Linked DNA regions of Coturnix japonica. The protein of the gene in region 1 interacts with the protein of each later gene in a biochemical or structural test. Links are inferred from orthologs where the notes say so. Each region holds a gene or a part of one and is shown on either strand. Other genes may lie near its edges. The genes, in order: FERMT2 and ILK.

The links.
Region 2: the proteins of FERMT2 (region 1) and ILK form a complex in vitro, tested with the Homo sapiens proteins (2 studies listed by BioGRID). The link is inferred for Coturnix japonica from reciprocal best matches to the Homo sapiens genes FERMT2 and ILK.

Annotation. Positions count from the first base shown.
Region 1 is NC_029520.1:52,895,074-52,899,518, reverse strand, and holds the start of FERMT2 (fermitin family homolog 2), read left to right. Parts: upstream 1-1,436; 5' UTR 1,437-1,466; coding exon 1,467-1,520; intron 1,521-1,986; coding exon 1,987-2,155; intron 2,156-4,445. UniProt on the Homo sapiens protein: Scaffolding protein that enhances integrin activation mediated by TLN1 and/or TLN2, but activates integrins only weakly by itself. Binds to membranes enriched in phosphoinositides.
Region 2 is NC_029516.1:173,992,531-173,997,113, forward strand, and holds the start of ILK (integrin-linked protein kinase), read right to left. Parts: upstream 2,889-4,583; intron 2,297-2,888; coding exon of another isoform or gene 2,286-2,296; coding exon 2,197-2,285; intron 1,133-2,196; coding exon 967-1,132; intron 700-966; coding exon 604-699; intron 489-603; coding exon 392-488; intron 289-391; coding exon 205-288; intron 1-204. Other genes in the region: RRP8 (ribosomal RNA-processing protein 8), read left to right, coding at 2,275-2,296, 2,889-3,325, 3,407-4,104. UniProt on the Homo sapiens protein: Scaffold protein which mediates protein-protein interactions during a range of cellular events including focal adhesion assembly, cell adhesion and cell migration.

The DNA.
Region 1 (4,445 bases):
GGAGTGTGACCTTGTCTCTGCTCGGAAATGACCATCTGTGGGAAAGAACCCCGGCTACATCCAACAGGCTGAAGGAGATGGGGATGCACGGGGAAAATGCCCAGGTGAGCAGGGAGGAAATGCTGGGAAATGTTTCCCTTTTTCTCCTCCTGCTGCTCCCATCACCCTGCGGAGCTCAGAGCACAGATTTCAGCCAGCCTGGAGGGAGCCAGTCTGACCGGCTCCACTGCGGCGAGGTGGGAAAGAGAGCTGAGTGCACAGAGTTAAATATTAAAACTCAAACTACAAGTGAGCTCTAAAAGAAAAGGCAAAAATGGGTTTCACAAAGATAGACTCATCCTGATGTCCATTGAGTTGTTTCTTGGGAAAGGCAGAAGGACGGCAGCAGCTTTGCTGGGCATCACCTCCATCCCGATGGAAGCGGCCGTGCGCTGCGGCACCTTATTTGGCTATGGCTGCATGGAGGGAGCACGGAGCTCTGGCAAGCAGTGGGAAGAGCTGGGGATGCTTGGCTGCTTCTGACGCATGAGCCCACGCCGTGCATGTCTGACCTGGCCTCAAATCTCAGCAGCACATTGGTGATGCGGCCGCCCGCCTCCGCGCACACCCACAGCATGGGATGGGGACCCTGGGGACGGTGTGTGCGGCCACCAGCACCACGAGAGCGGGGAAACGGAGCAGCAAGTGGTGCTCAGGGCAGGAGAAACCAGCAGCAGTCAGCTGGAGTGAAACAAGGCGGCCCGAGCAGGGCTGTGATGCATTGCATCAGCTGGGAAGCTCGGCCAAAAGGCTGGAGAGCAGAGTAACCCTTTCTGTGTATGGCCCTATTGTTTGGCATTGGAGCAACACTGAGATAGGATCTGACAGAGCTCTGCTGTTAAGGGCTGGTGTTCCCCTGTTGGCACCCTGCAAGCTGGGCTCCAGCTCCCAGGTTTGGGGGCAGAAGTGGGGTTCTGCTGGCCAGGAGTGAGGCCCAGGGAGGATTTGGGTTGGATTAATATTGTAAAAGACCTCTGAGATCACCTAGTCCAACCATCTGCCTCACTAGCCTGAATCCTCCACACTCCTTGTGTGCTAAACGTTAATGCTTGTGGGAAAGGGGATCCCATCAAACAGCAAAAGGGAAGAAGTGGTGGGACCCCACCACTTTCACCATCAGGTCTTTGTTCCCCTACTCATTATCCATCTCCGGAGCCATATATGAAGGGCACACAGGAAGCTGAGGACCGTGCTGTCCCCAAAGCCACGGGTATGGGATGGCTTCCATGGGACGCGCTGCCATTGCCGGCCACATCCTGCCCACCGCCCCGCTCCCTGCACACACGGACTGTCAGGAAGCCGGGCTGCCTCAGCAGGACACATGTATCACTGGGTGGGGAGCCGCAGGAAGCGGATAATAGGAGGGTTTTTCTCGCTATTTGTGCCGGCTCTCGGTTCAGCCAGTTCCCATTTCCTAAGCTCTCGGGATGGAGGGCGGCAGCGCATCGCCCGGCCTCGGCTCCATGAACCACGACGCCAAGGTGAGGCTTTTGTCTTTGTGTTCTACCAACGGGACGAACAAACACACCCAGAGCCGGCACCAGCCGGGCTGGAAGCGCGGCCCGGTTCGGAGCAGCCCCACGAGCCGCTCCGGGACAAGCGGGGCCGCCCCCCGACGGGCAGCGCTGCGAGCCGAGTCCCGGATGTTGGAGCAGCCCCCGCTGCGCTCGGTCCTTCTTTCCCATAAAAGGCCAAGGGGCCGCCGGGCGTTTTTCCTTTAATTATCCCCCTCCTCCTCCTTCGTCCCTCCTCCTCCTCCTCCCATCCCATCCCATCCCTGCCCGCCCCTTCTCCCCCCGCCCCCCCCACGGCGGCCCCGCAGGCAGCGGTTCGGGGGCGGCCGCGCTGTCCCCCCCGCACCCGCCGGGCTCCGTCCGTCCGTCCCTCCCCGCTCCGCTCCGTGCCGAGCCGTGCCGTGCCGGCTCTGAGCGCTGTATCTGCGCGCAGGAGGCCGGGGCCATGGCGCTGGACGGGATCCGCATGCCGGACGGCTGCTACGCCGACGGGACGTGGGAGCTGAGCGTCCATGTCACCGACCTGGGCCGCGACGTCACCCTGAGGGTCACCGGGGAGATCCACATCGGGGGAGTCATGCTGCGCCTCGTTGAGAAGCTCGGTGAGTGCCGGCGGCCGCGCTGCCCCAGCATCCTGCCCCGGGACTGTGCCTGCAGCCAGCGCCGGGCCGCTGCCACGGCATCCAGCGCCCCGACATCCCCCGCCCTGCCCCTCAGCCGGCTTGGACACCCGGCACCCTGCCCCGGTGCTTTGCTCTACCACCGGTGCCCTGCCTGCACCCAGCCCCGCAGCTCAGCCCTGATGCTGTGCCTTAACACCCAGCACCCCGTGCAATAACTCGCTGTGGCGCTCAGCACCCTGCAGCGGTGTCTTGCTTTAGCATCCAGCCTGCGGGCTGCACCCAGGGCGCTGCCCCAGCATCCCACCCCAGTGCTGTGCTTTAGCGCCCAGCACCTGCCTGCACCCGCGGCCGGGGCTCTGCCCCAAACTGTTCCTCAGCTCCCAACATGAAGCCTCAGGGCTGCACCCAGTGCTGTGCTTTGGCACCCAGCTCCCTGCCTGGAAGCAGCACCCAGCACCTCGCTCGTGTCTGGCACCAGGAGTTGAACTCGATCCTTATGGGTCCCATCCAGCTTAGGATATTCTGTGATACACCTGGACCAGCACCCTGCCTATATCCAGCATCTGCTCCATGCTGCCCCAGTCCCTGTTCCAGCTCTGCGTGCCCCAGGGTGTCCCTGCACCAATCTGAGCTCCACCCGGCCCCCCAGCAGCACCCACCCCACACCCACTCCCATCACCCCGGGGTCCTGCTGGCTGCAGTTTGCACGGAGCTCAGAAATATCGTTGCTTCGGGCTGTTTGGTGCAAGTCCTGCCATTAACAAAAAGATTTAATTAGCAGAGTTTGCTCAGAGCGGAGCTGGGCATGGTCAGCGTTAGTGGAGGTGGCTGTCCGTGCCCTCTGGCTGTGCTCTGTGTGTGCTTACCCAGCAGTGGGGTTGGGGTGGTTGCTGTCACTGCTGGGATAAAACATGAAATGTTGCACTGCAGGCGCATGCCTGGGGCTGTGGGAGTAGCTGTGCTGTCAGCCCTGCCCGCGGGTCCTGCTTCAATGCAACATGTTTGCGTGGCTGGAAAAGCAGCGTCCTGCTTCGGTTGTCATTTGGGAATTGCCTGGGCTTAAAGGAAGGGGGAGGTGGACCTGAATAGGGTCGGCTTAAAGGGAGGCAACCATTCGATCAAAGGATCTCCTGCTGGAGGCAGCCCCGGCTCCAAAAGCCCGTTTATGTCTGTGTTATTTTTCTGCTGGGGCTGCAGAAAGCTCAGCCTGAAGCCGGGCCGAGTGACTGGGGAGCAAAACAAAACCCCAGAACAAAACACTAGGGGAAAAAAAAACCACCCAAACCCCTGAAGCCACCTCAATGGCTTTCTAGAAATGGTAAAAACCAACCCCCTGATGGAGGGCTCTGCTCGGGGCTGCCCAGGGGACCCGAATTAGAGGCTGACGTCAGACGTCCCCGCGCCGTGCTGGTTAAATTAGGCATTGTATTAAGGGGAAGGAATGCCAGCAGCACGGGAATGGGATTCTGCTGCTCTGCACTCAGCTGTCAGCGCAGCCCGCGGCCCTCGCTTCCATAAGTCAAATCCGTGCTGCTTTCCCCCATCCCAAGGCTGCTCTGCTGTTTTAACATCTCCCTGTGGTTAAAAAAGCAAAAAGTGTGATTGTTTCCTGAAGGATTGATCCCTCTCTCTCTGTTTTTGCTGTGGGTTTTAAGGAAACTTCCCAAAGCTGACGTTTCTGGTGGAGGATGGATGAGATGCAGATGGATGGGGCGGCTGCCGTGGGCCAGACTTGGCTCCTCCGTGGGCTCTTCCATTGGGGAGCTTGGAATGTGGGGCCAGGCTGAGCCCAGGGGATTTGGGGTCGGGCTGACCCTGATGGACCCCTGACATTGGTGGAAGCAGTTGTTGGCTTTGAGCACAAGCCCCATGCATTCCCTCCCTGCAGTTCCGGCCGCTTGCAGTTAAAGCCTGTTGCGATTGGAGAAACCCCCAGGTGGGGATTCTGGTTACTGAGTGCATTGCAGCGACCTGCGTGCTCCCCTGTTATTCATCAGCCCGGCAGATGAAGGCACTGTGTTAATTGAGCTGCGCCATGAGCTTGGCGGAAAAATGGGCAAGAAGTGCTGAGGTTTGAAGAGCAGCACTATTTATTTGGTGACCTATAAAGGTCCGGGGCAAAATCCTGCTTACAGCATAGGAGCTGTGCAATTCATCCTACTCATGCCTATTAAGCTGGGATGGTTTCTTCTCTCTTGGTGTATTTATATGTAATTTTTTAACAGCGGGCTGCACTCCAGCCTTGGCCCATTTGCAGAAGCCAGCTGAT
Region 2 (4,583 bases), on another chromosome or scaffold:
GAAGAAAGGATTGCATGGGACTTTCCTCCTGTCTGGGGGCTGCAGGAGGAGCAGCACCAGCATTGTGTGCAAAGGCACTGCACTAAGGGAGCCTCCCTTGCCCCACTGAGCCACGTGCTGTGCCAAGCGCTGCCCCTCAGCCCTGAGTTCCACCCCAGCACACAGATCCGTGCCCCCAGCTCTGCAGGAAGCCTCTGTCCTTACGGGGCCGCGTGCGGGTCGTGCCCTTCCAGAAGGTGTCTTTGTAGGGGATCTTGGTCAGGTTCTGGCCCAGCTTCTCTGCATGCTCTGGAAGCAAATGAAGAGTTGGACAGCGAAGCAGCCCATGGTGCTGAGCTTCAGGGCTGCAGCAGCCAGAGGCAGGGACTGGGTGCAGGTGGGAGCCTCCTACCTTTCAGGATCTCCCGCAGAGGCATCTTGGCTTTGTCAATGGGCGTCTCGCTGTATTTGTTGGCAATGCTGACCAAGGCCCCGTTACCCACGAGGTCCTGAGGAAGAAGAAATTGAGCACCCACAGCTGCTGCTGTTTTCTCAGCCCCTTCCTACACACCCAGCCTCCCCCCTGCCATCCCCTGTGCTCCTGTATCCAGGTGCTGCTCTCACCTCTGCCACCGTGTCGTGTCCCCAGAAGCAGGCGTAGTGCAGAGGGGTGTTCCCGTGCTCATTCACCGCGTTGATGTCCGCTTTGAACTGGATCAGCTGCAGGCAGGACAGTCCTGGTGAGCCCAGAGTGGGTCCCTTCCAGTGCACTGAGGGGGGGGGAATGCACTCACAGCAGGGGCTGCTGATAGGAAGGGGCTGAAGGCTGCGAGGGGATGGTGGGAGCACCCAGAGGTGGGTGCAGTGAGTGCATGGAGGGGGCAGGGAGCAGTGGGGCAGGGAGCAGTGGGGCAGGGAGCAGTGGGGCAGGGCCTGCTGGGCACAGTGAGTCTGACTGTGGCTGTGCAGTGTTTGGGGAGCTGGTACCTTCTGCACGATGTCGCGGTGGCCGTGGCTGGCCGCCAGGTGCAGCGGGGTGTCGTCGCCGCGGTTCATGACGTTGATGCGCGCTCCGCGCATGATCAGCATGTCCACCACGTTGGAGCGGCCCTCGCGACAGGCCCAGTGCAGGGGGCTGAAGCCGTGGTCATCCCTGAGGGGACAGCGGTGAGGATGTGCTGGGAGCACGCAGGGCTGTATCTCAGGGGAGCACTGGGGAATAGCACTGGAGGAGACCCCATACCATCCTGCAGCTCCACGGGCCCCTCAGCTCCTGGCCTGGCTGAGTGAGGCACAGCTCCGAGCCCAAGGGATGCTGCAGCCCCAAGGGCAGGGAGGTGAGTTCTGCTCCCACTGCTCAGCACCCAACAGCAGCAGCCACACAGCCCCAAAGCCACGCTGCACCCTGCCATGCTGTGAGGAGCAGCCCAAGTGCTGCCCCTGCTCTGCCCACCCCCAGGAGGGCCCCGACCACGTTCCATCGTCCTCATGGCTGGAGCAGCAGAGGCTGCTGAGGACCAGGAGCCCCCCCATGCCCCCCCCATCTGCTCGCAGCCGTGCCTGGCCAAGTAAGGGAGGAGGCGGCAGCCGGGCCTTAAAAGGAGATTAGGGCCCAGTAGGCGGGGATGGGGATGGGGATGGGGATGGGGATGGGGATATAGCAGCCCCACTGCCCTCAGCTCCAGCAGAACCGGGGCCATCCAGTGCACTGCCAGCACCGTTCCCGTGGCACACAGCGCTGGGCTGGAGCCGAACACCCCATAACAACCAATAATACCCCATAACAACCAATAATACCCCATAACAAGCAATAATACCCCATAACAACCAATAATACCCCATAACAACCAATAATACCCCATAACAACCAATAACAGCCCATATCAAGCAATAGCAGCCCCGGGGATACAGCCCAGCCCAGCCCAGCTCTGGGGGACGGGAGGGCACAGCGGTGCCCCTGGGGTCAGGGGTTACTTGAGGTCACCTCGCCCTGCAGCCCCCTTTGGGGGGAGGCTCCTCCCAACGCCCCCCCCCCAACCCACGGCCGGACACCGGGACAACGGCGGTGTCCGAGGGGGCGGACGGAGGATGTTTGGCGCTCATGCCTCAGCGATGCGGTAACTTCCTCCGGCGGGGAGGAGCCGCATCCCACCGCCCCCCCCCCCACGGACACGGGGCGGAAACGAGCCCCGGAGCATCCCCCGCCCCCCCGCTCACCCCTGGTTGAGGTCATTCTCGGTGTTGTCCAACCACAGCCGCACGGCCACCGCGTTGCCCTCCCGGCACTGCGTGAAGATGTCATCCATCGCGGCTGGGGCTGCGGGGAGCGCGGGGTGAGGGCGAGGCCCCGCGAGGCCCGACGGTCCCGCACTGCTCGGGGGGGCCGCAATGTCCGCAGTGTCGCGGGTGCCCGCGGCCAACAGCAGGAAACAGCGCGGAGCCCGCAGCGTTACCTGCGTTATCTGCAACCCGCACTCGGGGCCGCGGCCGGGGGGAGCGGCGGGGATCAGTGCGGGAGGAGACCCCGCACCGCCCCGCGGCTCCGCGTCCCGTCCGCCCGCTGCTCCCGGCCGGTTCCGCTCCTCGGCCCCGACGGCAGCGGCCGCGCAGCCCCAGGGCGGCCCCGCAACGGGAGGGATGCGGGGCTGAGCTCAGCGGGATCCACCGCGACGGGCCGCGGCCCCGGGTCCCCCCGCAACATACGGACCCCGCACACGGACCCCGCTCCCGCCGCCCGTCCCGACGCTGCCGCTCCGCCCCCGGCCCCGCGCCGTCCCCGCTCCGCGCCGCGCAGCCCCGCAGCCGCCTCCATCTCCGCCCCGCTCCTCCCCGCGCCCTCGGCCGCCGCTCCCGGCCCGCTCTGATCTCGAGCTCCGCCCGCACGGCCCGGCCCGGCCCGCCGCCCTTACCGGCTCCGGCGGCGCAGGGCGGTGGCTGTGCGGGGCTGTGCGTGGCTCCGCCCCGGCCGCACGCAGCGCCCCCTGCCGGCCCCGCACGGCGGAGGAACCGGCGGGAACGACAAGGGGCGGTGCGGGAACGGAGCGGAGATGGGCGGGGAACGAGGGCGGGGAGAACCGGGGGGAGGAACCGGGGGGAGGGGCCGAGGGGCTCTGGGCGGTGCCGGTCGCTGCCGTTCACCCTCCGCTCCGCACGGGGCGCTGCCTCGTGTGCCCGGGGCTGCTCCGGCCGCCGGTGCACGTGGGGTCCGGGCGCTGGGTTCGGTCCGTGCCGGTTCCGCTCGGTCCCGTCGCCGCCGTGGCGATGTTCGAGGTGGAGGAGTGGGACGAGGGCGCGGACGGGCTGGCGCTGCCTCGGGCCGTGCCGGAGCTTCGTGCTGATGCCAAAGGTTCTGAGCCGCCGGTAAGGGGAGGGGGAACGAACCGGGCCGAGCCCCGGCTGCGGGACTGACGTTGCTCCGGTCCCGCAGGTCAGCGCCGCGATGCAGCGGAAGCGGCGGCAGCGCCTCGTGGCCACGTTGCGGCGGCTGCAGGCGGCGGGACCGGGACCGGGACCGGGACGGGACGGCGAAGAGGCTCGAAAGCGGCCCGGGAAGCGCGTGAGAACCGAGAGGGACCGAACCGCGGCGGAGGCGGCTCCGGAGGAACCGCAGCCCCGGGACGGAGGCGGCAACGCGGGGAACGAGGCGGAGCTGCCGCCCCGGGTCACCGCGGAACCGCCCCGAAGGAACGTGCAGCCCGCGGGGGGGGCGGGAGGCTCCGGAGCTGCGGCACCGAGACTGAGCAGGAAACAGTGGCGGAATAAACAGAAAAACAAACGGCGGCAGGAGAAGCTGAAGGCGGAGAAGCTGAAAGCGGAGCAGAACGGGGCCGGGGGCGGCTGCACCGGGCGGGATGAGCCCGAACCGACCGAACCCGAACCGCCCGAACCGGACGCGGTTCCCACGGGGCGGTCGGCGGCGCTGCGGGCCCGCATGGAGGAGCGGCTGCTGGCCGCGCGGTTCCGGTACATCAACGAGCGGTTGTACACCGGCACCAGCCGCGACGCCGTCGAGCTGTTCCGGAGCGACCCCGAGGCGTTTCACATCTACCACCGCGGCTTCGCGCTGCAGGTCCAGCGGTGGCCGCAGAACCCGGTGGATTCCATCATCCAACGGCTGCGGCAGCGGTGAGAAATACAGCTATAGAATGGGCTGGGATGGAAGGGAACCCCGGGATCATGGAGCTCCAACCCCACATCACACACAGGGCCACCAACCTCCACATTGATACCAGCCCAGGCTGCCCAGGGCCCCATCCAAGCTGGCCTTGAACACCTCCAGGGATGGACGGGGCATCCACAGCCTCTCTGGGCAGCTGTTCCAGCACCTCAACACTCTCTGTAAACAACATCCCCTGACATCCAACCTCAATCTGCCCTTCAACTCCAAACCATTTCCCCTTGTCCTGCTGTTATCTGCCCTTTCACAGAGCTGACTCCCCTCCTGTCTGTAGGCTCCCTTCAGGTCCTGGCAGGCTGCACTGAGGTCACCCCGCAGCCTTCTCTTCTCCATGCTGAACAAGCCCAGCTCCCTCAGCCTGTCTTTGTATGGGAGGTGCTGCAGCCTCTGAGCATCTTTGTGGCCTCCTCTGCACCCTCTCCAACAG